Linked DNA regions of Neurospora crassa OR74A. The protein of the gene in region 1 interacts with the protein of each later gene in a pairwise test. Links are inferred from orthologs where the notes say so. Each region holds a gene or a part of one and is shown on either strand. Other genes may lie near its edges.

Region 1 (10,164 bases):
ATGAGCCTCATGCCCAACTTCGTCATGAGCATGCCGGGCGACGTGCGCACCGAGTGCAAGAACCACCTCAAAGAGTTTGCCAAGCGGGAGACGCAGCGGAAACGGCCGGCTCGCCTGACCTTCTACGACGCAAAGGGGGGCGCAGGCGGGTCGGGCATCAACATCAAGGCGTTCGAGTTTATCGACACCTTACTGAGGAAGGCGCTCGGTCGGGTGTTGGCATGTCAGTGCCGCGAGGGTTGCATCGAGTGCGTGTGCTCAGAGCTCTGCAAGGAGGCTAATTCGGTTATCAGCAAGGCGGGAGCTGAGGTGATACTCAAGAGCTTGTTGGATGAGGAGATTGATGTGGAGAGCTTGCCAATGGGGCCGGAGGAGATCAGTCCGGCGGGCGTGGAAACGGTGATTTTGGCGAAACCGGTGCCGCCGCGGAACAGGAAGACGGTCAAGATTATTGGGCTTGCGGGGGAGGAGATTGAGATTCAGGTCAATGATGAGCAGGATGATGGGGAAGAGGAGGTAGATGGTTCATGATTGACGATGTGATGAGAATACATTGAGTAGGTATGTAATGTAAACTGTATGCTTCAAGAAGTCGTCTTGTTTGGAATTCCCGGTTCAAGTATGTAACTATAGATCCCGGCTTACCCCAGAAATGTTTTCGTCTTCCCCATGGGGTCCTTGTTGCTTGTGTCCACCTTTCCCAAGCACAACGTTTCTCCAAACTCATGCAGGTGATGGTTAGTCCCCGGAATGAGGGCATCGCCATGAAGTAAGGCGACGCCTTCCTGGGACAGTCCCACGCCAAAACGTTGTACACTACGAAAACGAGAGAACAAGTTTTCAAGGAAGCTTGGCTGACGACCTTTGTGCAGCACAAAAAAAGCCACCCGCCATGGCACTGCCAAAGTCATATGTACATATATGGGACCCGCCTTGGCACATGATGACTGCTTTGACGTGTTTTGCACATTGAGTGGTTCCATCATTTGTTGTTGCTTTTGTGTTTGGATGGTGTTTACTCAGCGAATGCTACGGATATGGGCTGTGCAGCGATCAACCTCGTCTTAACAAGCTGGGGCCGAGGGCTCTACACTAGATTTAGTGTAGCGTCGGTACACTTGGTAAAGAGGATCCACCGCGATGTTTATTTAGCGGAGATCTGTGCACAACGACTGCCGCCGATTCTGCTGCCATGGTGTTTCTGCCTATTCATTAGCTTCCTCGTATCCGTCAAATATAGTGTGCAGTTACACATCACTGGCTTCGACACCTAGAGGTAAGCTTTTCGGCACTCGAAATCCATCTTCCGATTTGCCGAAGAACATCAACAAGAGAGAAGATGTCACACTTGAAGCTAGCGCATGGAAGGCTGGGCGAATGGGATTGCACTCGTCTGGATCCTCATCTGCAACTGGGTCTCCCAGCCCTCCAGTCCGAACTCCGTCCACCCCAAAAGCCCCAGTCAAACCCCCCAGTCTGGCCTGAAACCCGACGCCGACGAGCCTCGCTCGCCAAAGGGAAGCCAGCTGTGTCTGCACCAACGGATTCTTGGCGCTTGGCTGCCTCTAGGGGTCCACCTGGTGTAAGAAGAGCAGGGTGGCTCCTGCATCGAACCCCGAGCCTAGACCCATGATAAACGGTTTTCTAACAGCGACGGACCATGCGCAAATGGGGAGCATGAGCGTGGGTTGACTTCAGCTCTCTCTCTCTCTCTCTCTCTCTATTTTCTTCCCGTGGGGTTGTGAGCGTCATCTGGTCCAATTATCAGATATGTATGCTTCTTGTGAGTCCTGCGATCATTGAGTGAGACCGACGTGGATGCTCATAAATATCACGTCTTGATACTCTTCCTCCTCCTCATTCTTCGTCTTACAAACTTGCTACTGTCCTGTTGTCTCCAGCCATCTTCCTATCAAAGAGTTCCCGCCTGTCTCGCCTCGTACATAGTCGTACTTTTTCGTCTTACAAGCTTACTACTCCACCTGAACTTTGGTCGGGCTGTGATGCCTACCTACCTAAGCCAGTGCTGACCGCCTTCACCTAGTGGCTTGCCGATTGGGCTCTTTTTTCATCTCTCTTCCCCACCTCTGTTTACAAGTCGTCCTTGCTGAAATCCATTATTTTGTCGGTCTTGAATAAAGGACGCTGTATCTTGGGGGGTCACTGTTCGTCGAGACGAGCAACTGCAAACAAACATCTCTGGTACAGGAGGAGCGCTACTGGGAAGCCACCTACCTGTCTACAACTACAAATCTTCACCCATTTCACTCGCAACATATCTTACACAGCAACCAAAACACACCATGACATCGCCCTACCATGCAGCGGCGCGAGAAAAGCGCGCCGCCGAACGTATTTTGGACGAGAGAAACCCCAACTCTGGAAACGTCCCGCGCGGCTCCTCTTCCAGCCGAGGTCCTCAACAGCTTCCTCTCCACTCTGATCCCATCGGAACAGAAGGCCGCGGCCATGGTTCTCACCACCACCACCACCACCACCACCACCCACCGGCCCCAAAATCGTGGTTCCCTGTTCGCGCAGGCGGCGAAAGTGGCCGAAGCGGCATCCACCCATGGCATTTTTTTCGCATCGTGTTCCGCTCGTCCTCGCTGGCGTCTCGCATGGTCAACGTGCTATGGCCCGTGGTGCCCGCTGCCATCGCCCTCAGATACGCCGCCCCTCATCAGGATCTGGCTATATTCATATTGGCGTATATTGCTATGGTGCCTTGTGCGAACTTGGTTGGGTTTGCGGGACAGAATTTGGCCAAGAAGGTGCCGCATGTGTTTGGTGTGTTAGCCGAGACGACGTGAGTATTTTCTTCCTGCTTCCGCCTGGGACATGGTTATGTAACGCTGCTAACTGGCTACGGTCGACAGCTTCGGGTCGCTGGTCGAGATTATTCTGTTTATAGTCCTGATAAAACGGTATAGCCCTACCCAAGCAGTGGACTACACCCAGGTTATCAGGGCTGCGATCCTAGGTTCAATCCTTGCTACGATGCTGCTCTGCCTGGGCTTCTGTTTCGTTGCTGCTGGTTTCAAGCGCGAGGAGACGCACTTTAGCGAAATTGTCAGTGAAGCCGGTAGCGGGCTGTTGCTCACTGCGTAAGTTCCCACGTCCATCACACCAGAGCTCCGTGTCTACCAGGCGCAAGTACTCACTGTTTCTTCTGTCACAGTGGATTCGGCCTAGCCGTTCCTACAGCCTTCTATAACGCCCTTCATGGCCGCTTAGACACAAAAGAACTCGAGCGCAAAACCCTCGAAATTTCACGTAGCACCGCTGTCTTGCTCATCATCGCCTATCTCGTGTACGTCTTCTTCCAGATGCGCACCCACCACGGTATCTACGACGCTATCTTCGAGGCCGACGCCGAGCGTGATGACGACAAGCATAAGGAGCTTCAGAGTCATCGCCTCACTCTGATCGAGTCCATCATCGCCTTGGCCGTGGGCGTCGCCCTTGTTACGATCATTGCCATCATGCTCGTCGACAGAATCCACTTTCTAGTTGAGGAACGCGGCGTCTCCGATGCCTTTCTCGGTTTGATCATGATTCCACTTGTCGAAAAGGCCGCAGAGCACTTGACGGCCGTAGACGAAGCGTACGACAACCAGATGAATATCGCCCTATCGACGGTACTGGGCTCAACGCTACAGACGGCCCTTTTCAATGGCCCTCTCGTGGTGATTGTCGGCTGGGGAATGAACAAGCCCATGGGGTTTAACTTTGAGCTGTTCGACCTAGCTATGCTGATCCTCGCTATTTTGACAGTCGGAAACTTCTTGAGGGACCAGAAGACTAATTACCTGGAGGGTATGTTGTGTGTGATCGTGTATGTGGCCATCGGCGTGGCAGCAGCTCACTACCCGAACCCTCAGGAGCTCCATGAGGCATTCCCGACGGCGGGCACGTCTCCAGCTCCAGCAACGAGTGGGTCGGAGGGTGGTCATCATTAAGCCAATGGCTGCATGTCTGTTAGATTGTCGGGGAAGGAAAAGGGTGGACGAGTTTTACCATAGGATGCATGTTTCGAACCATGGTGGCTTACAAAGTCCAAACAGGGATATTGAAAAGAAGATGGAGGATAGGTACTTTCTGTTATTATCGTTTCAGCTACATTTAGACGCCGTGGAACAGGGGCGAGGAGTGTCTGGAATGTATCAATATACACGGCGAAGTGACGGTGAAAGTGTTGTAAAGCATACAATCCATTATCAGCTATCTTTTGCAGGGAAGCTTAGAGACAGGATGCAAATGAAAAAAAATGATATCAGGACTTTACAAGACATTGTGTTAGGAAGTCTGATGAAGGTGGAAGGCTTGGGTTGAATGATGTTTGCGCACTCATAAACCCTAACCCTGGGGTAATACCACAAGTAGAGCTCGGGCCACTTTGGAGCACTGCCCTGTAGCAGCGACAAACGTCAGCGCCTTGACCCGTGGGGGGAAGGGGTCGTCCGCCGTGCTGAACATGGGGACGTGGCCCGTCCAATCCAATCGGCCCCCCCCCCAAGAACATTGAAGCTTCTCTGACGGAGCTTTCCACACAACAGCTCCTACCTAGGCAGGCATACCACCACCATTAATCACGAACACCTCTGGCACTGTATCCCGCCCGGCTGGGAATAGGTTCTTGACATCCCAATCGACCGAACACTGACCGACTGAAAGGGGCCAACCTTGATTGCGTCCGATAATCCTGCCCACCCAAACAGGGAAGCTTACACCTTCTGCCACAAACGAACAACTCGCCTGGCCGCATTCACGCACGACGACTCAAAGATGGCCTCACTGGGTGGTAAAGACTACCACCATCAGCAACCAATGTTGGACGACGATGATCTGATAGATCCTGACGATGGTAAGCTCTACTGACTTCCTTGAGTTTCTCGCAATTACATCTCTGTCGTCCACGTAGACATACACCTTCCACCCCACTCGACAACAACGAGACAATTGCTAACACAGACATTTCCCAAACAAAGCCGACCTAAACGACTTCGACGACCCTCTTGCCCCCTCCTCCTCCCGCGCACCCTTAACCGGCACCATCGGCTCTTCGTCCTCCTCCACCGCCGCCGCCGGCGGCATCGGCTCGTCCTCTTCCGGAGGGAACACCCAATCAGCCTGGACCTCCCGCATTCCCGGCGAGGACCGTCGTGCGCCCAACAACACCATCGACGAGACGGTCTGGGAGACGCTCCGCCGTGATCTGCTCGCCGTGTGGTCCAAGATGCGCGAGGTGCTGTATCCGCGCTACCTCTTTGGCGGCACCATGCTCGAGTCCGAAGACGGCCTGCGGGGCGCCTACGCCAACATCCGGAACGCCGGCCTGTCGGGCGCCAGGGAGGAGTTGACGGGCTTGGCGAGCAGAGTGATGGACCCCGAGTCTCTGCTGCAGCAGGGGAATATGAGTCCTGGATTGAGGGACTGGGATCTTTGGGGCCCGTTGATCTTCTGTCTGTTGCTGAGTACTCTGCTGAGCTTCAGGAGCAGGGAGCAGCAGAGGGAGATTGTGTTTAGCGGTGTGTTTGCAATGGTGTGGATTGGTGAGGCGGTGGTGACGGCGCAGATCAAGTTGTTGGGTGGGAATATGTGAGTGGTTTTTTTTTTTTTTTTTTTTTTTTTTTTTTTTTTTTTTTTTTTCCCTCGTTTTCTTGTGGCTTGTTGTAGCCGACAAGCTACAGCATTGATGAGATGATAGTGTGGCCATGCTAACAGTTTTGGTTCCAACAAACAGCTCTTTCGCCCAAAGCGTTTGTATCATCGGATACACCCTTTTCCCTCTCGTCCTGGCTGCCATGCTCTCCGCTCTCTCGCTGTACTGGGTCGCCCGGATTCCGGTGTACCTGGTGCTTGTAGGCTGGTCCTTTGCGGCAGGCATAAGCATTCTCAGTGGAAGCGGCGTTGTTAAGAACCGCGTTGGGTTGGCGGTCTTCCCCCTTCTGATCTTCTATTTTGCTCTGGGGTGTCTGTGCTTCATTAGTTAATGGGTTTGTTTCAGAGGTTGTTCGCATTTAAGAGAGGGCTGTCAACACGTTCCACCTGGTAGCAAATATGCAAAGGGGACGATTAAGGAAAAAAAGTGACCAAGGAAGATTAATCTAGGGAGTCACTCGGCTGTATCACAGATCAAATAGGCAAGTTGACGTTGATGTTGGGAAACTGATTCCCGTCACATGGTTCCCGGTATGACATTGCCCTGGCTTTAGGTGAGCAAAGGTGCGTATTACCGTGCGCTGATCCTTTTGATTCGTTGTTCGTTGTGACATCTTTCGCCCTCTTCACCTTGGGGGTCAACATACGGATCCCCTTGTATAAAGTCAAGATTTTCTCTACATCTGCCGCTGATACCGACTATCGCGAAATTAGCTAACCACTTGGTTATATCACACTCAGTTAGATGGCCTATAAATCATATAGGCCCTCAACCACTTTGTTACCCTTTAGCCCCCCTTCCCCAAATACCTCTCCAGATCAGGTCCTCTCCCCCACAACTCCCTCTGTATCCTTTCCGCTTTCTTCTTCTCCACCTCGGCCATCTTCCGAACCTTTTTCGCGTCCAACAACTTTTCCTTCTTCTTTGGCAGCACTGGCAGCTGCCCATTCTTAGGCACCTCTACCCCAAGCCCCAAGTGATCATCTTTCTTCTTGCCCTTAATGGGGAACTGGATTCCCTGTGCCGCGGACCCGAGACCTTGGCGGGAGTCTGGGTCCCAGCCGTGGCTTGTAAGATGTTTGAGCCCCATCCGTGAACGGTCAAGCGCTGAGGGAGGGTGGGAATGTGGAAGGCGAGATTGGTGCGCAAAGGACTGTTCGTGGATAGCTTTGGATTCTGGATTAGGTGCGTAGGGGAGGCTACAGATCTGGCAGATTTCCTGTTGTGGTAATACTATTGGTGGCTGTTCTGTTGGCATTGTAGTGGTTTGGATTGTGTCTGAGGTAGTGGTGGTGGTGGTAAAGGTGGTGGTGGTGGTAATATCCGTCACTGTTGATTGATTTCCATTTTGTTTCTCGTTGTTTTTGTTTTTGTCCTTGTTGGCGAGAACCATGTCCAGGTAAAGACCAGCTACGTCAAGTTTTGGCTTGTTGGACTTGGTCGTTGTTGAACTGGTTGAATCTAGATCGCCATCGGAGGCGGGGACGAACTTTATCTGTTGTTTGTATAACCCGGTGCCAAAGGGGCGAAGGTGGTGGAGGGGGACGTCTTCTGCATCATCGTTGTCTGTAACCTTGACGGCTCGCCTGTCTGAGGAACCCATTGTTTGTGGGTACATGCGCAAAGCTTTGTCTTAGATGAGTCTGTGTCAACGTTTTGTAAATGACGGTGGAGGAGAGATGGACAAGCTGTGTTAATGGGTTCGTGAATTGATGTACTTGTAAAGGCTCAGTGGACCGTCAAGTGGTGAAGTTGTACGTAGTAGTAATTGATGGGGCAATCACGGGAGAACCTTGATGCCCGCGCTTGAGGCGTGGTTAGTGGGGCCTGATGCCTGCCGTCGATGCGGCTCTGTTTCGGTTCCTGGTCGTGGTCCCCGCCATGTTGGACCCACCCATTCCTCCATCCGGACTTCGGTCGGTTTTGGTGGACTAGGTCGCTAATTATAGCCCCTGAAACCTTGACGTAACCTTGTTTGAGCTGCTGTGGTTGGAGCCAAAACTTCTGGCCAGTTGGGCCTGTAGCCAATTGCGATAGCTCCTCCTTTCTCGAGCTTGTTGTCCTCTTTTATGAGCGTTCTTTGCTTCTGCACCAACAACAACAACAACAGCAACAAAAGCAACAACATCTCAGGATCCGCAGAATGACCTTGTAACATTACTGGAAGCACTAACGATCCCTTCGAAACCCATCCCGCATAATGCCAATTCCCTTCCTCGCCAGCGTCCTCATGGACGGGTGGCCATCATGGCTACCCGGGCCGTGGACTCTCACCAAGGCCGGCAGCGCTCTCGGAGCCATCGCGATCACAAAGATCTACGCCAGTGGCGCGACATGTACGGCTGAACGGAACATGCACGGTCGCGTTGTCATGATCACCGGCGGCACATCAGGAATCGGCGCCGCTACGGTCTACGAGCTTGCCAAGCGAGGCGCCCAAATCATCCTCCTCACACACCACGAACATAACGACGCCTTTCTCGTCGACTTCATTGATGACATGCGCGACCGCACCAACAACCAGCTTATTTACGCCGAACAAGTTGATCTACGTTCCCTGCACAGCGTCCGAAAATTTGCGACAAAATGGGTTGACAACGCTCCTCCCCGCCGCCTCGACACCATCATCCTCTGCGGATCGACCCTCACACCGCCCGGAAAGGCGAGGACTGAGACACCGGATGGAGTGGAGAGCACCTGGCAGGTTAACTTCCTCTCCAACTTCCATCTGCTGGGCATCCTCAGTCCCGCGATCCGCGCCCAGCCGTTCGACCGCGACGTGCGCATCATCATCCCGACATGCTCCGCCTACATCCGCTCGCCGTCGTTGGATAAAGCTTTGGATAAGAAGGACTGGTCCCCCGGCAAGGCATACGCGCGGAGTAAGATGGCCATGATGGTGTTTGGCAAGGCCTATCAGAAGCACCTGGACGCATACAAGAGGCCCGATGAGCTTCCGATGAATGCGCGCGTCTTTTTGGTGGATCCTGGATACTCGAGAACGCCTGGCATGCGCCGGTGGCTTACTAGAGGCACCGTATGGGGTCTCATTGTGTACCTTTTCCTTTACGTCTTTTCCTGGCTTTTCCTCAAGAGCGCAAGGATGGGCGCGCAGTCTATCTTGTGGGCGGTTATGGAAGGCAGTCTCGTGCGCGACAAGGGTGGAAAGGTAGTCAAGGAGTGCATGGTGGTCGACTGCGCACGGAAGGATGTGGACGACGAAGCCATTGCGAAAAAGCTGTGGGAATCAAGCGATAAGCTGATTGAGGAGAAGGAGAAGGATGCGGCTGCAAAGCGGGCAAGGGCAAAGAAACGAGAAATGGAGAAGGAGGAGGAGAAAAAGGAACGGGAACGTGTTGAGGAGATTGAAGCTTTAGTAAACACGATTAAGAAGGGGAAGCAGAAAGACAAGGAAAAGCCCAAGAGTGGGAAGAAGGCGAAAAATGGAGAGAAGACTGCCTAGAAGGAGGTCAAATAGACCAGTAACAGCATATAGATTTCACGTTCTCATAGTGTAGACTGAAGACTAGGTACCATCCAGTAATGTACGTACAAAATGCAGGCAGGCTGTGGAATTGAATCCCGATGCTCGGGGACGGGCCGATCCATGAGCGGAACCCCCCTCGGGCGCTTAGCAGGCAGGCAGGCAGGACACCATATTGAGCGGGGATAGAACGCCGGGCTGGTAATTATAGTGGGGCTCTTTCGGCACTTCACGTGAAGATGATCAACAATGACGAACTATGTAAATACTTAGTATCCTGGGCGATCCAACGTCCCGGGATCATGAATTTCTGGGGTGCATCAGATGTCGCTCATTTAATCTCCGCCGAGCTATTCGTTCCTGAAATCAGAACTAGTATTTTATCAATCAAGAAGCCGAGTTTCGGCCCCAGTGATCATATCCGTTCTCAACCTCCGGAAGGCTCACACAGTTGACTATTGCCCTCAACAACACACAGCTTCACGGGCCTCCCTCAACTCCAACTCTACTACGCAGTTCAACCGTGACTTCACCCAACCTATAAGCCGAGAGATCACAAAATACCAAATATACTGGCCCTTAAGACCACCAACGCAAGCAAATCATCAACACCAAACCATTCTATGACGACCCTCCTATTAAACCCCACAAAGGCTCAGGTACCGCTACTACTATCATCATCTTCGTCACCTTCACTCTCACAATCCAGAACAAAGCACCTTACGCCTGTTCCGAAAGCGGCAATGCCACCATCACCTACCATGACTCTCGACCCATCCCACTGCCATCCGGTTTTCTTCACGCCAAGACTGCGAAGAAGTCCGTCTTTTACACTTCAAAAACCCGGACCTAGTGGCACATCATCGTCGCATGCGGTGAGCCCGGTGGTTCATGGGTATATGTTCCAAGACGCGCAAAGGCTTCAGAAGCAAGGGGTTGTGAGCCTGGGAAACATGGCAATTGGGCCGGCGAAGGTTGCTGGGGGAAGTTCGAGGCTATGAGGATGCTGGATGAA
Region 2 (9,844 bases), on another chromosome or scaffold:
GAAAGAACCATTTGGTGAGACTGGTCATAGTTACGTCGTGAGCAGTTCGGCTTCAGAGGGTACAGAGGGCATAGATCGGGCACGGTTCTGGATCGTGCTCGCCGCTTTTCTCTGGACTTCTACTTGGGGGATAGGTATGTACACTAACACAGGCTTTTCCAACTCTTCTGTTTACCAACTACAGTAGGATTACAGTCGCCATATTTCATCATCACTCGAGCCTACGGGCGTCTTCTCTAATTGTGGTCAATCTGTGACTTATGGATTCCCGTAAATACCATTATCGAAGCAAATATCCATACGAATCAGGTCATCCATCGGATCATGACCATCATCGACATGAACGAAGAAGCAATGAATACCATCACACATCTGCCAGATTGCGTACCCGGGAAGCTCGGCACAATCACCAAGGTGCGTTCGAGGTGCCCGCTAGCCAGCCTGAGAAGGCGGATTATGTCCACACATGGCTGCAGCGATCACAAGCGAATCGTGCCTGTTCCCCAGAGCCGGTTCCGGGGGACAGACCTCGAAAGGTCTCGCCGCGCGCGCACATGGTCAAGCAGACTAGTCAAAAGAAGAAGAGAGCACGGTCAGAATCGCCCGAGCTAGTACACCCAAGAGAGACCCATAGCCCAAATGCTCTTCGGTTTGAAAAGAAATCCCGACACAACACGAGGCTTGACAAATACGAATACAGGCCAGAGGTAGATCGTCACAAGAGACGGACCCAGACTACAGAACATCGCCGGGAGGACAGTCACGGGTCTTTGGAGGATGTTAAAAGACATACCCGAAGTAAATATCAACATGCGGTGGGTAACTGTCACTAACGTCATTAATAGCAATTTGCTAATGTAGTTCAAATTACAGCAACGAATGAACGAGCATGCCCAACGAACCGACCACGGTACTGCCCGTCGCCAGAGCTCCAAAGCCAGGGAGGTCGAAACTATATCAAGACGCCCTGATCATAGATCAAGAGCGGTGGAGCCAGGACGAAGAAGCCGAAGACAGCAGGCGGAAGCTAAGGAAATGAAAGAGCTGTCTGCATTCTTTACGGGGAGAGCTGACGGTGAAAAAGCGGAAGCTGAGAAAATACACTACCGACCTCATCGAGAACAACGATACGACACTGCTACTGCTAGACATCCGGCTTCAGATATCCGCCAGCAACGAACACATGATTCACCCAGCCCTTCGCTTCTTCCAAGTAGAAGCACTGGCTCTACCAGACAGCCTTCGCCTGCTTCTCTCCGGCCAGACTCTCTTTTCTCTTCGCGTGGTGATGATTCAATACTTGTCCTACCAAATCGTCCGAGTAGCAGATCAACTACATATTTCACATGGTCAACAAGTGACAGGGATCCGGCGCCAGTGTCCAACGTTTCCATTTCAGAGAAACCCCGGAAGAGCATTCAAAGTTCTGCTCGGAAGCTTGTCCTGCAGGAGCGGGAAATAAAGGGCCCACATGTGGTTTCGGAGGATTTCAAGATTAGACCAGCTTCGAGAGCAAAGCGTCATCCACGGAAATCGATAGTGTACCAGGATGCTCAAGTCCAGACATCGTTTGATGCAGATCGGAATCAAAATCGCCAATACCCAAAAAATTCTATACCCCAGTATCAAGATTCCGCAGTCATGACAGCAGACGAAAACAGTAACCTCAAACAACGTGTCTCCATGCTGCCTGCAGAAGCATTGCCAACTATGGACAAGAGAACTGTATATGAGCAGCCCTCATCCAATACAACAGCAACAACGCTACTAGATGTACCACCGCAGCCACAGTTCCAACCTCAACCACAAGCCTGGGTTACCTCTAATGCCAGGGATAGACTCTTTTCTCAGCCGTTTGTAGCAGCGCGTAACTTGTTTGCCCAAGAAGGCTGGCAAACATATCAGGAGCCTTCTCCTAAGCAAGCATCCGGTCGCTATACGAAACTCGTTCCGCCTGAAAGAGTTCGGGCTGTAATGCCTTCTCACCAACCAACCTCTTTGCGCCCTGCAGTTGATCAAATTTCAAGGTCTATTTCATGTCCTCCAGCTCAGCTTTTGTATGCTCATACGCAGGATCCGCCTCGTGAAAGTATGGAAGATTACATCCGCAGAATCGAGCAAGAAGCTCTGCAGAGTTCCACCAACAACGAAGAAATGGATGGATCACAGCCCCATGGTCCAGACCTGACTGAAGGTATAGGGCGGCAGCAGCTCGGCCATGGTTTATATCCCGAAGGCAATGATACATTTCTTCGGGACACTGCGTGGTACAATCAGCATCAACTTCCAACAGACACAGCACATATCCAGGTACAGGATCCCGAATATTTCGACCTAGAGCATTACGGGCAGGGCATAGGGGGTCAAGATACCCGGTTACCGAGACTGTGGGAAGATCCTCGCGAGTTCTGAGATGTGACCTGATCCAGCAGAGAAGCCATCACTCCGGCTTTTGATCTTTCCACTTTGCTTTAATGTTTTCGATATCCATTCCACATTTTGCGGCTTTGGCGACTACCGCCCGAGCCTTTCCAACCACAGGAGCATCAATCATCTTTCCGTCCAAGGTCCAAGCACCTCGACCAGCTGCAGAGGCCTGAGCATCGGCAACGAGGATACGAACGTACCACTCAACCTCGGCCTCTGCTGGAGCAAACATTCGCTGAGTCACTTCGACCTGACTGGGGTGGATACACTCTGTTTGAATGCCAAGTATTAGTGAAGAGCACAGTTCCCATAAGAAAGGCACCGTCGGTACAAGGAATGGAAATTCAGGAATAGGTAACTCACGCTTTCCGTTGAAGCCCATCTCCTTGCCGTTTTGACACTCCTCCTCTAGCTGCTTTACCCCCTCTGGACCCTTGTATGAGGTACAAACAAGGTCAATGGAGCTAGGGAGATCGAATGCTCTGGCAGCAGTTACAATAGCACTTCTGGCGTACAAAAACTCGGCCAAACCTGGCGTTCGCGTAATAGACAGGTCCAACGCAAAATCCTCAGCAGCAAAGATCAGACCACTCAGATACGGTGACGCAGCACATATCGAGCGCAAATCCATGACTGCTCGGGCCGATTCAATCAAGGCAAGTAGCTTGAGAGGGCTTGCCGTGGGGTTAGAAGAATGTCGCTGTGGTGCAGCATGGCGAATGACATCTGTAACGAAGGACAGATCACTAGCACTGTTGACCTTTGGGATGACAATGGCGTCAAGGTTTGGGGCGCTTGCGAGAGTGGTCAGATCATCAAGCGCATAGGGCGTCGAGACAGCATTGATGCGTACAGCAAGCTCTCCAATGGAGGCCGGCTTGTCCGAAAGTGAGGACAGGTGGTCGCGCAATTGTGTGCGAGCGGTCTGCTTGTTTGCTGGAGTCACCGAGTCCTCAAGGTCATAGGTGATATTATCACTAGCCAAGGAGAGTGACTTGGTCATGAACTTCTGAGAAGACGCAGGAACTGGGTCATGCTGAGTTAGCAACTATTGCAGCCATATGACAGGAGGGTTATATCTTGGATAGACCGCACCATATAGGAGCGCCCGACGGAGGACGGAAGAGGTAGCCATGATGTTCAGTTTCAAGTCAACAGGTGGGCTCTGCGGTATGTCTGGATGTTGACGGGATGGAAACTATCTGGGCTCACAAGTATGACCGACCCAGCCACTCATCCACTGCATACACTGCTAACAAAGGCCCGAGAGCATCCTAAACCACTCAGTGACTACTGTCTGTAAATCGGGAAGAGGGGAGAAAGTCAACAGAAGGATGTTGCTGAGCTCAATGGGGAATCGAATGGCATGTGACGTAGCACCAGCGCGGAGCTGTAGCTTCGGGCCGCTGTCGGCTGGGGCGCTATGTCCACTAGATTTTACTGTCCTCCGACCTCCGTTCTCTGGCTCAATATGCATGGTAACTTTGTCCCCGGAGAACCTCATTTTTAAGCAACAATAGGATAAGAAACCGGGAAGCACGGGGATTGCTTTGACGCAAAAAGACATTGAGTTCCATATCGAAGTAAAGCCTGGTTATTTCAGTTCGTAGGGAGGCTTTGTACGGAAGACCAGCATGGTGTTCATGCCCAAGGGGAAACGTGGTTGTAGGTAACGATAGTGCATTAACAGCAATGCTGAGTTGTGTGGGGAAAAGGTACCTCCCAGGTCCTGCCAATTACCTGCAAAAACTGGGTATTTCGATACCTTGAAGTCCTCCCCACCGGATATTCAGCCGTTAATACACCCTAGCTTGTGTTCGAGACGGTCTGTCAGCGCGGAGCTTAGGTGTTCTGACCTGCGCAGTTGCGCATCGTGCAAACGGCTTGGCTTCACCTCTCTCCAACTTCACGACGACACCATTGTGACAAAGTACCTTCGAACCCGGTAACAGGTCACCTTCTGATCCTGATGATGGAAGCAACACCGACGCCCGGCTCTTTGAGCTGGCGCTTGAGCTCGCATCCTATTACGCTCCTGACATTCCTCGCTTTTCGATCATGTAGGTGCTCGCAGTCCCTCTTCCTAGCTCCCTTTGTCAGTGTCTCGAGGATTGGATGTAGCCCATTACGGCCATGATGGGGAGGAGAATGCATTCCGGCAGGATGATGGGTAGAAGGTCACGAAGAGAAGACGGGGGAGGATGGAGCACCCGATACCTGCTACCAAGACACGCTTGCTAAAACCCGATCGCGAACTACAGCCAGTCTCCTTGTCTACCTTTTTGGCCTCTTATTTACCGACAACCTGTAAGGCGACCCCGTCAGCCCCCTTAAACCACACCATATCAGATGCTCGACTTGCCCACTTGCTCGTCTATACAGTCGCAAGCGAACGCGAACCCGAGAGTGTTCCCAGCCTTCCACAGCTTTCATCCATCAGAAGAAATCAAGGGATTAGATTGCTAACCACCCCCCCAACCGACCGGCAGTGTCATGATCTTCATCATAACCATCCTTCTCCTCGCCGGCGACTTTTACTACCTCAAGAACATTGCTGGCCGCCGACTCGTGGGCCTGCGTTGGTGGAACGAGGTCGATCCTAACTCGGGCGACTCGCACTGGGTGTTTGAAAGCAGCGAGCCGGGGACCAAGATCATCAACGCGACCGACAGCCGCTTCTTTTGGCTGGCAATCTATGCGCAGCCGCTGCTGTGGGTTGTGCTGGCTATTGTGGCCTTGTTCAGTTTGAAGTTTATTTGGTTGCCTCTTGTTGGTATGTGCCCCTTTCCCCTCTATCCATCGTACTAGCGCTTGCCAGTTCCCTTGGCTTGCTTGTTGTGCTGCGTGGTTTTTGGGTTGTCAAAAAAGGCATTATATGCTAATCGGAGGTTAATGGGCGTGTTGTATAGCTATTGCGTTGGTTCTTACCATCACCAACTCGCTTGCCTTCTCCAGGTGCGACAAGTTCAGCCAGGCTTCCAACATTGCTGGAACCGCGTTCAGCTCGGGCAACATCGCTGGTAACATTGCGAGCAACATGGTTGGCAGGTTCTTCTCGAGGTAGAGAGCAAGCAGGACGAGATTCCCCGAGGTCAGGGAAAAAGTTGTGGCTTTGGATTAGTATCCGAAGGGACTGTTCTCGTCAGATATCGATAGAGAATTCAGCCCCGAAGATACTTGATGGCCATCTTAGGATTCTCATGTTTTCATGATGTGCATTATGGGTCGGGCTCGAAATTGGTGACAGTATAAGGAACTTTTGCACGACAAATTGCCGATGGTTACCTTCTAGATTCATTGCCAGCAAAAATAGTATCTGAGCAAGACAAGATGTGTGAATTTCAGGGTCCGTTATATGGTGTCCGGCTCAAGTACTAGTAGTCCATGATTTTCTTGTTTCATGCGGATCCTTCGGACATGACATAGGCCATGGCTCTGAGACCACCATTCGGTACGTTCACTCCGTTTCCTCGATGCATTCACATTCTCTGAATCGCTCCATAACTGTTCGCAGAATAAAACAGAAAATGGAAATAGAGTTGCTGATCAAAGATTTTTCGATTTATAACCATCAGATATTGTAGCATCGCCCCTACTGATACGGACATACGTAACTTCCCAAAGATCAACAATGAAAAAGGAAATACTCATATCATCACCCTCTTCCTTAACTACTTTGCTCGGTTATCTTCACTTTCCAAAGCATTCGTCATAGGTGCCTGGAGCCCCTCTGCCCTCCCGCGTGCTGTTCAATGGCCACATCAAGCTGTCGCTCTTCCTCCTCCAACCTCCTGATTTCCTCCTCTGTCATGCCTTCCTCGACCAAATGAGCATACGGCGTTGACAAGCTCCTACCCTGTTGCTGCTGCTGGCTGATCAGACTACCCCGGTTGCTATCAGTGCCTGCTCCCCCATGTGTGAACGATGGTGCGCCGCCACCGCCGCTGTGCAGAGTGGTAGGCGACCCTCCTCCTTCTCCCCCTCCGGACTGATGATCAGAGTACATGGTAAAAGACCTTCCAGACTGATGATCGTGCGGTGTCTGCTGCTGCTGCTGCTGCTGCTGCTGCATCATGTGGTAGGACGGGGCGTTCGAAGCCGGGCTGTCTCCATCTCCTTCTAGTCTCCCATCTGCTCCGGGAAGAACCACCTGAGGGGGAACGCCAGAATCAATGTTAGGAACAACGACACTACCGCTATTCCTGTTGGCACCGGCGTCACCCATTCGCACGAGGTTGTCAGAGTAAGGCGAGTGAGGCGCGCTCGTCACGTCGTGGATGACGCCCGCGTTGGCTTCCTTCTCGGCTATGAGCTCGTCACCGCCGTTCCGACCGCCGCCGCTGGCGAAGCCCCCGTAAGGCCCACCGCGACTGGTGCCGTCTCGAAGGGCGTTTTGCTTGTGGCGCCGCCGGAGGCAGAAAAAGACGATGCCGCTGATGAGAGCGAGGCCGAGGAGGCCGCAGGCTATGGCGATTCCAACGATGGCGCCAATGGAGATACCTTTCTTGCTCTTGAGGTTGGAAGGCTCTCCGGTGCCGCTGCTGACTAGGCCGCCGCCGTTGGTCGGGGTGGCCAAGGTTGCCCCTGGAGTGGGAGAAGGTGATTCGGTTGGCTTTCCGACTCCAGCTGACTGGCCGCCCCCATCGGAGTCGTCCCTGATCGGATGTTCTTCCGGAAAGACCGGGTCAGGGTTGTTGAGCAAAGGATTTAAACCATAACCCTCAAGTATGGTATGGTCTGGCGCAATGTTCCCGATTGTTGTGAAGAGCCGGCTGTAGCTCCTGCCCGTTTTGCCGCCGTTCTTCCAGACAACATCAAAGTACAGCAGCTTCAGCGGGGCTGGCTGGGCTGGCTGGGCTGAGGTATTGTTGAGGTTGAGGATAGTCCAGATATTGTCAATTGTCACCGAGCCTCCTGTAGCATTTGTCTCAACTGTTGGCTCGTTGCCTTCAGTTAGCACGAACGTTCCAGTCATCACGTCACGCCACGGCGAAGAGAGGTTAGGCTTTTAGACAATTTGTGATGCACTTCCTGTTGACTTACCGGTGAGGTTGATGGGATACGACGTAGATGTTGGCAAGGTGATGATATCGCCCTGAGGCGCCATACCTAAGGTTAGATCTGGCCAGCTCCCAATTTTCTGCGAGGTTTTTGCAAGGCTTTGAAGCGAGGCAGGCTCGACTATCGTAGTGTTGCTGTAAAGGTTGACGGTGTTGACAGTGGTACCGCTCGTGTTTGTGATATTCCATCTGAACGTAGTCGCCTCCCAGATTACGGCCGGCTTGCCTGGTATTTCTTTTGTCCCCTGGGTAAATCCGTCACTGTCGCTGAACATAACGATGTCCGTATGAGAATTAAGTGAGGCTGCGCAACCTGCCAATGGCAGACCGGCTAGCAGCCAGCTCCTTTGCGTGGCTATTCGCATGATGAATCGACTCCCGCTTTCCTAGGCCTCCCCCTGTATCCGGCCGTCGACTTCCGAAATGTGTCGTGTAGATTCTCACTTCCTCAAGCAAAATGCCTTGTAGTTCTAGATATACGCATCTCCTCTTATAATCGGCTTCGTTTTCGTTGGTGCCGGTTCGAATCCAGAGCAGATGTGCTGACACCGGTAAGGGACCAGCTGCTAAGAGTGTGCCAGATGAACAAAGGTGTGAGAAAATGGACAACCCAAATGGAACCGGGCACGATGAAATGCGAAGCGTGTGTAGGTAAGACGGCCAGGGTCTGTGGAGTAACAGAGCGAACGAGGCTCGGGAGTAAGCACCAATACCAACTCGGGATAGGAGCAACTATCCGTATGGAAGATTGGATGGATTAGACGCACAATACCCCCATCCGCAGACAGATGAAGGGTGGGACAGGCAGAGGGCGAGGAGTAAAGAAAAGGATCAGATAGGATGGGAGAGCGGGAACTCCTAAGCAAAAAGAAACACCAGGCCAGGCCACAAACGGGCGGGGGGGCCAAGGTCGGGGTGAGCTGGGTTGTTGCTTATGTAGAGCCTGTTGGTGCAGTGGCTTGGGTTGTATGTCAAGCACACTCTGACGCTCGCAAGGGAAGGGGGAAAGGAGAAAACAGAATGGTACAAAAAGGGTAGGATGGAAGGCCGCTCAGCTGAATCAATGGGACCAACAAGTGTCAGATCGGTTCACCCAAGGCCAGTCTGTTCTAGATACGAAAAGATTTCCAGAGATAATATTTCATGGGTACCATCTCCTCTGTCTTGTCTTCTCTTCCTCGGTCACTTTAAACCAGCGAGCTACCCATTCAGCTCGCTCTTATCTCCTTGTGCCACTTGCCTTCCATGTTTGTTTTAGCCTGCTTGTGAGAGGAGGACTCGATTCCCGGTACACTGCATCAGAACTCTTTGCGATGAGTGCCATACGTGTACCACCAGATAGACGATGACCTTTGGCCTTGCCAGGATGCCTTTTCCCCCCCCTTTCTTCATTCGCTCCTTTCTTTACCGTGTGGGCGCAGCAACAATCAGATTACCCCAGCAAGCATGTATGTTTTCTGAATTTTAATTTGAAATATATATATAAAATTTTTTTTCCCTTTTGGGCACTCTTTCGTGTCTTTCTCTACACTATCTTATCAAATAAACCAAAAAAAAAAATTTAAAAATAAAAAAAAATTGCAGAGTGTCACTTATATATCCATAACCAAGAAACGCTGTTTCCTGTGATCTACAACATCCCCTCCCCGTGACTTAGCTTGATTGGGAATTCACTGCGACTTAAGCCTTGGTGGGCTGAATATTGTTTATGTATACTCAAGGGGGGAGAAATGCATTGTAAGGTACTGTGTCAACGGTCTACGTGAACGGTTCTTAGTTTTAAGAAGATAGCCGACCCTTACATGTCCTGTCTGACAGAACCACCTCAAAAGTAATCTCGCACAAACGCCTGCTACCCTCTCGCTTCGTGGCAGCCGACACAGCAGAGAGGGGGGAAGAGGAACAGGCAAACTTTATCTGTGTCGTGTCTCCCCCGTGCATATCCACCCATAGAAAGCCAAAAAGAAGTCAAAAGAGTACTAACAACACCACCCACATTCCTCAATCAGGGGTCCAGTCCGTCCCCGCCTATCCAGCGCATCAACAGACAACGGACAATGGTCACCCAACACCCGATTTAGTATCCTTTCCCGCCGTTCAATTCGGCTGTGCCCCTCCATTCGCAAAGCGGGAACTCGCAAGTTGCAACCTTAACCTTAACCGCCACAGTAGACGCAGCAGCAGGACTGGCGCCAAGAGCGAAAGCGATTCGCTGTCCGATTCCATTCGACGGCATGTTCATGTTCTGGTGCCACAGCCGGAGCACCCAATAGACTATAAGACTGCGTGTCTGCATCTTAAAACTTATTACACTACTTTACTTTCTACAGCAGACGGACAGATTGACAAACTAATGT
Region 3 (10,065 bases), about 2.7 Mb from region 1:
TCCATCACCTCCATCCAATGGCACATCTGTGCCCTATCAGGCTTAGCCCAGCTTGTCTGCCTAGTGTTCGCTTTGGCACTACCCCTGGCTGGGGTCCGTGCTCCTTTCGTATTCGCATTCTCCCGCCCGTCTCGGTAAGCCAATCAATGGCTTCATCGAATTGTGGGAATTTCTGACTTGTGTGATCTTTTGAATGACGATGATTTGTGGTCCAGATCTTTCATATGTCATGTGTCCCGTACTGATCTGCTTGTCATTTCGAGCCGAAGGGCTGGTTCGAGCTTCCACTTCGTACGACAATGGAAGCTCTTCTTGTTGACCTGCATCAGGCAGTCCCCATCTCAGGGGTCAACTCATCCACAACGGTGGAAGCTGGAGTGATCTCCAGAGGCATTGGCTCCAGCGTCAGTAATTCACCGAAACCATCCAGCATCCTACAGACGTTGGGGTCCTCCACCAAACTTTCGGTCCGGTCCCTCGCGGATATTACAGAATCGCCTTTCACAATGATGCTGTCGACAATGGCAATATCGGTCGAACCACTCGTCGCGTCGCGTCGCGAAGTGCCTTCTTCAGTGCCGCAAGTAAGGCCGCTCCGCCCCTGACCCCTTCACAAGGTTGCTTGGTATTCTAGAAGGCTTCTAGCGAGGTCCACTGCCGTCAGGGTTCGTCGTCCGAGAGGTGTACGTAGTGTAAACGTCGCTCTGGAGATCCCGAGATCCTTCCCAGACAACTCAGTTAGAAGAAAGCGGTCAATGACCAACACTGTCTGACCATTTTCATGGGATGCGAAAACATATCATTGAACCTATGGTGACGAGCCATGATTTTGTTGTTGATGAGCGAAGTCGACTTGGAAGCGGAGTGGGGGTCAAAGACCTTTGAAAAACATTGTCGTGATAGCCCGGTAAAGAGGACAACATCAGACGAATCCAATTCCAGAAACTTTAGGAGAACCCGTCCCTTTTCGGCCAGCTCGATCGAGTCTGACTTGCATGTACTTACTGTAGCTCATTGTCCGTTGACTCATCCGTCGTCCACACCGGCGTCCTTGTGTGGCTTGGAGCATGATACACCACCGCATAAGTCCGAGTCCAACCATCACCACATCCATCTGGAATGGCACCCAATCGCATCACCGCCGCAAGCTTCTCTCCCGGGCCAAAGAGTGAAACGGCGCATTCTGTGACTCTTCTGGCTGAGCTTTTCACAAAAGCCTCTATGCAAGATCCACGCAGGATGGCATATGAACCTCACAAACGAACTCTTGAACTGCACGTTACACTCATAGATGGCGTAAGCTACAATAGTCACTGACAGAAAGCCACGAACGAACTTTTGGAGCCTACGTACGCTATGATGCCACAAGTGACAGGTAGTGTAGAAACTGACAGCGGATACGTAGCCCGAAAAGAACTTTTTTGCTTTCGGTGTGTGTGTGTGTGTCACAACGGTAAGAGAGCCCATTGGTTAGAAGACTCTCTGTTGAATCCCAGTTGGGAATAGTCTCATCCCTCTTATGGACGCCGGGATTCGTAACCTCCAAAGCTGCTTACACTACTGGTGTATTCCTAGAACCATCATCCATCCCTTCCACACCCAACGTACGTCAGCCCTGAAATGATAAACATGTGAAGTCTAAGGCTGAACTACCCTACGTACATCACCATCATCACCATCATGCGTGGACCTTCACCCCGAGCTTTGTGACCAACGTACGTACGTATTAATAAGATTTCCAATGGACGGGTAACTAGACTAAGCTTTTCGACCCTTGTGTATGTATATCCCCGCCCCGCTGCTTATCACGGTTGGCCGCGTACGTCGAACGACCCAAACAACACCAAAACTCCCCGATCCAACATCCCCAAAGCGAAACGACAAAACAAAAAGCGGTATGACGACGGCAGTGCTTCCCAATACAACCCGAAAATTCTGGTAGCCTACTTACTTACGTTGCTTAACTTAACTGACAACTATTACTGCGTAAACAAACGTAATCCATCAACGTAGCCTGCTAGGTAGTCTTCGTACCTACCTGCCGCTGTCAGCACGGCTAGAGGTAGGTAAGCTTTTTCGTTCGGCAATCCACTGCCGACCAAGTCTTTCTTTTCCCAAACTTACCTACTGCGTACACACGCGGCTACTTTTTGTGCCTTTGTGTAACGACACATATATATATATATATATTTTTTTTTTTTTTCTCCTTGGGTGGCGTTTCGAAAAAAAATGTAACTTTCCCCCCCCTAGAAAAAGGTTCCCAATTGCACATGCACATGATGAATCATAGTGAATTATAATGGATGGCGCAGCCACACACGACTAGACTACCTAGTTAGCCTTACTTTGATAGTATACTTGGTAGACGTTATTGAGTTACGCTGAGCATTTGGCTGTCATTTTCAATATGCATAGGTACCTAGCCATTGACAAATACTCGACTAGAAAAAATTTGGTTTCGGTGCTGTGACTCATTACTAAGGCATGATGGCCTTTGCTTTGCTTCACTTTTCATTGTTTTTGGTAGTAGTAGTAATTGGGCTGAGTTGTTTGACAGGGTTTCCCACGTGGTTTACATATGCAAGAGCATGGGTGGGTTCTTACTATTCCATCTGTTGTTGTCGTGGTTGTAGGGACAAGGAATGCGTAGCCTAATGCCCTTGATTTTTCTTCTTCTTTGGTTACTGTGGAGATGAGGGTAGGAGGTAGTACACGTATGTGTATACGCACACCTGGTAAGCACTTACATCAAGGGATGGATGGATACTGAGATACGTTGATACCGATGGTAGATGGGGGAGAAAGGCGGAGTGGCTTTGCTTTGTTCGACGAAATCGGCCTTACCCTTCTCACCTCACCGAAATTAGTGTAGGTACCTATTGTTGTGGTTCAGATGGGTAAGGGGAGATGAGGAGGAGGAGGAGGAGGAGGAGGAGGAGGAGGAAGAAAGCAGAGTTATCAGAGATGTATAAGAGGAGTTGATGGCCTCGCTTTTCAGGATGTTGTGTTTTTGTTCATCATCAACATCAACAGCTTCAGACTTCGTTCAGATCTCAAGTACTACCTACCTACCTAGGTACCTTCCTCGAGAACACAAGAACCACACCACACCACCAACCAACCAACTTGAAGCTTCACTTACACGGACAACTTGAACACCACCAACACCATCTAAAGACATCCTCATCAAGACTCTTCGACCAACCATCACCACCACCACCACCCAAAGACCAACAGACACCAAAAAACAAAATCATGTCCGCCTCAACAAACTTTAACTTCCCCTCCCACCCCACCTCCCGCTCTCACGCCCTCCAAATCGTCCAAGGCACTCGCGCCCTGGAACAATCTCCACCTCTCGCCTCTTCCCACCAGTCTTCCTCAAAGTCCTCACCCAAGAAGAAGAACCACCACTACGCCGAATCCACCACCTCAACATCCAGTTTCTCCAGCCGAACCAGTCTCCTCAAGGACAAATTCCACTCCACTTTTGGATCTTCTTCTTCTTCGTCACCGTCTTCGTCTTCAGACAGCAGCAAGAGCAAGAGCAACAGCAAGTCCGTGAGTAGTAGTCCCATGAACAGCACCAGACAACAAGGGCTGTTCCTACTTGGTTCATCAATAAGGATGGGGCACTGATTCTTTTTTTCAATGTGGGGGGTTGTTGTGGGTGGTAGTATTAGGAAGACTTGAGATGATTTCGAGACGAGCAGCGGCATGGGGAAGTGGCAAGCGGTTTGGCTTGATTACCCTATGGGCAGGTCAGATCGTTCAAAGTATCGATAGCGAGTATGGACAATGAAAGGGGTCCCTCCCTCCCCGGCACGAGGGGTGGTGGGGCGGCACGAGGGATGGGATAAAAAAGGATGATGGGTACGCATAAGGGCATGGTCAGGAAAACGGAAAAAAGAAGGGGAGTAGTTAAGAGGAGGCGTTTCTTATGTCTACCTCTACCACCTGGGAACTGGATGGATGGAACGTATTGTAGTGTACCTGTTATACCCGGGATAGAAAGAGGAGGACAGCGTACCAAAGAAAGGGCAGCAAATGGGTGAAATAAACTGCCAGCGCAATTCAATTCAGCAGAAGTCATAGGTTGAATTGAAAATCCGATTGAACTTGAACTTATCAATCCCAGAAACCAATCGCGGCAAACGCCTCCCCCATAACCTTTTGTTGACGGATGAAGATAGTAAAACATCAAATATCAGATACAAGGCCACACAGCTCCAAACGTACCTCTCTTCCTATTAAGCCTATCTCCTTCATATCCTAACCTCCTGCCCCTAGAACATCATCATCATCGTAGCCGGATCAGCAGGCTTCGCATCCCCACCACCCGGGGCAGCTCCCTTCGGACCATCCTTCAACGCCGGGCTTCCATGCGCAAAGAAGAGCACCTTGATGGCCAGGGCCAAACCAAAGTGCAGCGCCACCACGACAAACAGCAGCACCTTGCTCGTCTGGCGATCCGTCGCGCTGAGCACCGGATACAGGTTCCTGAGCAAAAAGGCCACCGACACGCCGAACCCCACGCCCACAAACACCCAGTTGAGGATGGTAATCGGCGACCAGCTGATCAGCGCCACAGGGATCCAGATGAGGTTGGAGTAACCGTACAAAGCCCAGCACTCGAGCAGGTTGGCGGATTCCGAACCAAAGTATCGCAGGGCAAGGTACAAAGCGACCGGCAGGACAAAGGTGTAGCCGTAGATGAGACCAGCGGCGCCTGTTGTTGTTTTTTTTGATCACATATCAGCCCCCAATTTTACTAAAATCAATCACCCATTCACCCAAAGGGAAAAAGAAAAAACAAAAAACTTACCGCTCAACAACCGAAAATCATACGCAAACGCCTCCTTCCCCGTCTGCGCCAAATAATCACTAATCGTCCCGCCCAAGAACAAAATCAGCACCACCGTCGTCGCGATCCAAAACGGCCCGTACAGGTCCGGATTTCCCTCCAACACATCCAAAAAGTTGGCTCGCGGGTACAGGGCCGCCCAACACCGCTGCAGCACGCTGGACGTGTCCACGTCAAAGAACTGCGCGTAAAAGGAGAGCGTCCAGAGGAAGCGCTTGCTGCTTCCTCCTCCCGAGTTGGAGGAGGTGCGGGCGGCGGTTACGGGAGCGGGAAGTAACCCGCCGCCGAGGGAGGAAGTGGAAGTGGTGTTGGTGTGTTGGGTGGATTTGGTGCCGTTGCGCCCGAGGGGGGAGGATTCGGAAAAGTTGGATTGGTGGAATTCGAGATCTTCTTGGAGGTCGGTGTGGCCTAGGTCGCCCTGGAGAGAGAAGGAGAAAAAAGGGTGGTTAGTTGGGTATGTAAAGATCAATGACTACCATGGGAGCGGATGGGAGGGGAGGAGAGGGCGAACTAACCTCGTCGTCGACGTCTACGACTGCATCGTAGCCTGATCTGGACATGGTGGCGGTTGTTTGCTGTCTGTTGGTCGGATGTGAGCTGTGATGACAAGTCTTTCGATGGTGATTTGGTTGGAGCTTGGGAACACGCCGATAGCTGTGAATCGCCTTGGAGTCAAATGGTATGATTAGTTTATGCTTAGTGTAAGTCGGTCTCTCGATAGGTAAGCTCCTCCAAAGCTACTTAGGTGGTCTGGTCCCTCCGGAAGCTGGTGGTGGACAGCTGTTTCAACGTGAGCCGCGTACACCAAAGGGTAGAGGTAGGTAGGTAGAGGTACGTACCGCTGTACACTTGCGTGCACGCCCCCTGTTGGGGTCCTGAAACCGCAGCAGTGCACCCCCCCTTAACGGATTCCCGGTCCCTGCAGTAACTCCCCGCAATATGTCACGTGGGTCCAAAGTGGCCATCAAGGTAGTTGAGCTGTTTCGAGCGACATTCATAATCAAGCTCAAATTATTCTACAAGATCACTGCTTTTGGTAGGAGAGCTTCAATGCCCTTTTGTGTATCCCCACGGGCAATGTCCGAGTTTATTCATGAGCTACGTAGAAGTCCTCGACTTGACGTTTTCAGCCGTAGCCATCCATTCCCAGGTCCCGTGTTTCCCTGTCCTGTTGTCCTTATGCCGTTGCCATAACCATACCCGTTTGCCCCCAAAAAGCCCAAATGCGCCAAACCCTGATGCTGGTACGTAACACTGAGCTGTCTATTTGAGCTTCTTCTTGGGGCGGAGCTGGTTGGTGTGTCCGCACTTGCGCTTACGGCAGTTGGTGGCACGGGGAGGCAGACGAGCCTAGAAACAAGTTAGACCTTGGTTCAACATTTGAGAAGGCGAAAAGATGATATAGAGTATACGTACGTAGCACTTGCGGCAAATCATCTTGTCGCAGTTGAACTTGGAGGCAAGCGCCTTGAGCGAGGGCTCGATGATACCACCGCGCAGACGGAGGACCAAGTGGAGGGTTGACTCCTATAGCAGAAATCCATGTTAGCAAGTCGACCATGACACCAATCAATTGAATCCCATTTCTGTTCCCATGGCCATCGCAAAAATGGAAGTTGACCACAGCAGTTGTCCTCCCATTCCCAACCCCTATAACATCTACGTCATAAGCGCGCTGTGGGGCCACCAGTCCACTGACCTTCTGGATGTTGTAGTCGGAGAGGGTGCGGCCATCCTCGAGCTGCTTGCCAGCAAAAATCAGGCGCTGCTGGTCGGGCGGGATACCCTCCTTGTCCTGAATCTTCTGCTTGACATTGTCAATCGTGTCGGAGGACTCAACCTCGAGCGTGATGGTCTTGCCCGTGAGGGTCTTGACGAAGCTATACACCAGGGGTACAACGTCCCGTTTGTTAGTGACCTGACTCAACTCCGCTTGATTGCTTCGTGCTGCGGAACGTCGTGAAAACTCACATTTGCACTGCGGTTCAGGTCAGATTAGCATCTCGACGAATTGAGGATTTGGTCTAAAGCAGTGTAATTAACTTACTCTTGACCGGTTATTCCTAGGTGTGGTCAGTTGGAGGTGCAGTGGTGAAGGAGGGAGTGATGTGATGATGTCGGGGAACAGCAACAGGACGAAGCTATGATGGTGGGGTTATGGGAACGGCCGCTCTGGGCAAAGTGGTGCGTGCACATGTCACAGTGTTCATCAGCTTCATATCTGCACTGTACCTCCATCTTCAACACCAGAAGGTCGCCTCCACCAACGATTGCTAAGTAGTTTCCTCAACCGCACCCGATTTGTGCTCTTCTTCTAATGCTCAATATGGATATCTTCTGTCACAGTATCGGTCTCATACTGGTTTGATCCCGAGAAACAGCTCAGGCAAGTATTCAAAGCAAGTCATACCTCCCCCAACCTCATCTTCCTCTTCTCCCTCTTCTCCCAACCATACAACAGTTCCTCCAGACTATAAACCGCCTTCACCAAAGCCTTCAGTGACAGCCCCGAGATCTCCGCTGCTTTCTCATGGAACCTTCTCGCAGGTCCAGATTCTCCAAGTTGCTCAACCGACCTAAACCGCTGATGAAGTGCACCCAGCCTCTTGATATTCTTCCCATCATTAGTCTCAGGCCTCGGTTCAACCAGCGTCATCGACTTTTGCACTCGATGCATCCGAGCAATGAGCTGCTCATCGGTCATGTCTTTGCTGCCGGGTTCCGGTAATCGCAGGACGTTCTCGAGAGGGAAGAGACGTTCGATTTCGGTTTCGTCTGTTTTCAAGTGTCTGTCAGTAAATCGTTTGCATTCTGACGGACACCCTGAGAGGGAAAGGAGGAGAAGGAGAAAGACATACCAGCAGCGCTCCATGATTTCAGCTGCGTCTCCTGATACCAATCCAAATACTCCACCATCTGCTCCTTACTCAAAGTCCAAACCTTCTCCGCATCCATGGTCGCAAAGTCGAGCCTCCTCAGCGGCTTCTCGGGCGGATCTGCGAACTCAGCCTCCCAAGCATCCCAGTCCATCTTCAACGTTAATGGGTCGTTGTTGTCTCGTGGATACCGCTTGACGCCGTCCATGGGGTACATGTACTTGGTTGCTAGCACTAGAGAGGCGACTAGTAGCACGTCTGGGATGTCGAGGAGGGTGTAGCGAGAGGTCTTGCCGGTGAAGGAAGACGCGTCGTCTTTAATGTTTTGGCGCGTTGGGAAGGTCCAGGAGAGGTTGAGCATGAGGCAAATTTGTCGGGCGTGGAGGTGTACCTCGGCTGGTATGATGATGATGATTAGAGTGTGTGACTTTAGAGGAAGAGGGGCGGCAGAACTTACGTGGTAGAGCCAGATCTTTGAGGTATAAGATGAGGAGTGACGGTGCTGGGAGTGGTGGTGATACCATGCCATAGTTCTTCTTAAAACCTAGGGTCAAGGTCAACAACGACTTGTGAAGCTCGCTTCCGTCAAACTTTGCCCATCGTGTTAATAGCGTGCGCTGAGCCCAGCCAGGTAAACGTTCTCGTAGTTCGTTCGGCACCAGTTCAAGCTGAGTAGCAAGAAGAATGTCAGTAAGCGAACCTTCTTGTGAGTACAAAACTACACACCAACTTACCGCACCAAGAAACGGCAACTGGTTGTTCTTCGCCCACCGATAAATATCCCCTACCCTCACCGGCTCCTGCTTGAGCAGACACCCCATATAAATCAGCGCCAGCACTTCCATCGGGCCAGGCAGATCCCACAGCTCGCTCTCCCAATCCTTCACCCTGCTTGACCTCCTCCTCTGGCTCTTCACACTCTCATCAGCCGACGTATCCGTCGTTTCCGCCTGCGAGCTGTACATGACCATCTCGCTATCGGAACCCGACTGAGAGAGCGCACCACCACCACCGCCACCATATTGCGACCCCGTTCCATCGTGATCAATCCCCTTTCCTTTCGCCTGGAGTGATGATGCCCTGGAAACGCTTTTGAGACCAATGAACTTGCGGATGCGTAGGTCCCAGAGATCGCGGCAGATAGACTCGAGCTCGTCCGAGAACCCTTTTTCGCGGATCAGCCAGAGGATTTGTTTGCGCAAGATGATCTGCAAGCAGTCGAGGTAGAGTTCCTTGGCGTCGTTGCCTGAGAGATGTTTGCGCTCGGTTTCGCGCACTTCTTTTTCTTTGCGCACTACCTTACCGGTTTTACCGTAGTTGTCGTCTTCGTCGACGTCGAATTGGATGTACCCCTGGAGATATATGTATGGGATTAGCGACTGGATATGGGAGTCAATTTGCATTTGATTGTTTTGAAGTGGTTGATCGTACCTCAACTTCATGACCGCGCTGACAATATCTTCGTCCATTCTCCGAGTAGTACTTTCGCGCACGGCATTCGGTACATCTCTGTCCGTTGGGAAACTTTCGCAGCCTTTGTTCATCCATACTCTGTAGCGCTTGGCTGCGTGCCTGCTTGTTAAGACTGTAACGTTGTTCCTCGCTATGTCCCGTCACTGATGACGCATGGTCGAGCGGGGTGAGTGAGTGAGTAATGAAAACGGACGCACGGGTTCGTGAGGGGAATGGTCAAATGATTGAGGGCTGCAAAGGTCTCCTGTGTGTAGAGTAAAGATGGGTATAATACAGCTGGAAAAAAAGGATAAAGTGACGATAGTTACACTTATGTTGAAAGCGTGTTGGGTAGAGATGCGACTCGCCGAAAGAATGAAAATTTCAAACCCAAGCTGAAAAAGCGCGAGCCGACTTTGCCTTTGACCTTCCTTCTGATGAAAGTCGCCAAAACTCGCCAAGATACAAAACGCCGCTTTGTCAACTACGAATCACTCCAAGTTGACCGACAGCAAACTGCTCTTCAGTCTGGTGTTTCGTTGTCTGCAGTCTGAAGTGAAGTCAGAGTGAGAAAGCATGGCTGGCCCAAGGGCATCGGACACATCGACCTCTAGATCGCTAGTGGAGGCATGATTGGTATACACAACAAAGACTATCTGGCAGTTCATTGATGCTTTTATGATATCCTATAGAATGACCCACACATCGACGGAGACTAGCATATGCTTAAATCGTGAAGGTCGATATGTACATGTCGACGTCAGTTGCGCCGCCAGTCATGCCTCGGTATCATTATCCCCACACGGCATGAACTTTGCTCATCCTATCGGAGACTAAACGAGACCAGAGAGGTACTCAGAACGGAGAAACCAA

The links. The genes of interacting proteins can lie anywhere in the genome.
Region 2: the proteins of NCU06367 (region 1) and NCU02733 interact in a two-hybrid assay, tested with the Saccharomyces cerevisiae proteins (2 studies listed by BioGRID). The link is inferred for Neurospora crassa OR74A from reciprocal best matches to the Saccharomyces cerevisiae genes YIP4 and TVP23.
Region 3: the proteins of NCU06367 (region 1) and NCU05276 interact in binary tests that used the Saccharomyces cerevisiae proteins (3 or more experiments, as listed by UniProt). The link is inferred for Neurospora crassa OR74A from reciprocal best matches to the Saccharomyces cerevisiae genes YIP4 and YIP5.

What each region holds. Positions count from the first base shown.
Region 1 is NC_026504.1:2,759,735-2,769,898, reverse strand, and holds NCU06367 (Yip1 domain-containing protein), read left to right. Parts: upstream 1-4,473; 5' UTR 4,474-4,788; coding exon 4,789-4,867; intron 4,868-4,991; coding exon 4,992-5,601; intron 5,602-5,746; coding exon 5,747-5,996; 3' UTR 5,997-6,341; downstream 6,342-10,164. Other genes in the region: NCU06365 (DEAD/DEAH box helicase), read left to right, coding at 1-531; NCU06366 (Ca2+/H+ antiporter), read left to right, coding at 2,304-2,809, 2,880-3,107, 3,182-3,962; NCU06368 (hypothetical protein), read right to left, coding at 6,453-7,283; NCU06369 (oxidoreductase), read left to right, coding at 7,866-9,128. UniProt on the Saccharomyces cerevisiae protein: May be involved in proper membrane localization of Rab GTPases.
Region 2 is NC_026501.1:3,356,858-3,366,701, reverse strand, and holds NCU02733 (golgi apparatus membrane protein tvp-23), read left to right. Parts: upstream 1-4,235; 5' UTR 4,236-4,396; coding exon 4,397-4,487; intron 4,488-4,688; coding exon 4,689-4,734; exon of another isoform or gene 4,735-4,916; coding exon 4,917-5,200; intron 5,201-5,336; coding exon 5,337-5,491; 3' UTR 5,492-5,788; downstream 5,789-9,844. Other genes in the region: NCU02735 (hypothetical protein), read left to right, coding at 1-134, 290-414, 701-766, 874-1,302, 1,365-1,499; NCU02734 (citrate lyase beta subunit), read right to left, coding at 2,441-2,697, 2,791-3,453, 3,523-3,562; NCU02732 (hypothetical protein), read right to left, coding at 6,137-7,359, 7,471-7,852. UniProt on the Saccharomyces cerevisiae protein: Golgi membrane protein involved in vesicular trafficking.
Region 3 is NC_026504.1:5,492,057-5,502,121, forward strand, and holds NCU05276 (Yip1 domain family), read right to left. Parts: upstream 5,689-10,065; 5' UTR 5,425-5,688; coding exon 5,380-5,424; intron 5,283-5,379; coding exon 4,826-5,282; intron 4,730-4,825; coding exon 4,287-4,729; 3' UTR 4,057-4,286; downstream 1-4,056. Other genes in the region: NCU05277 (hypothetical protein), read left to right, coding at 3,256-3,561, 3,695-3,802; NCU05275 (ubiquitin-60S ribosomal protein L40 fusion protein), read right to left, coding at 6,128-6,214, 6,281-6,391, 6,564-6,744, 6,836-6,842, 6,912-6,912; NCU16890 (hypothetical protein), read right to left, coding at 7,269-7,639, 7,723-8,136, 8,198-8,408, 8,475-9,092, 9,172-9,288. UniProt on the Saccharomyces cerevisiae protein: Possible role in vesicle-mediated transport. May be involved in proper membrane localization of Rab GTPases.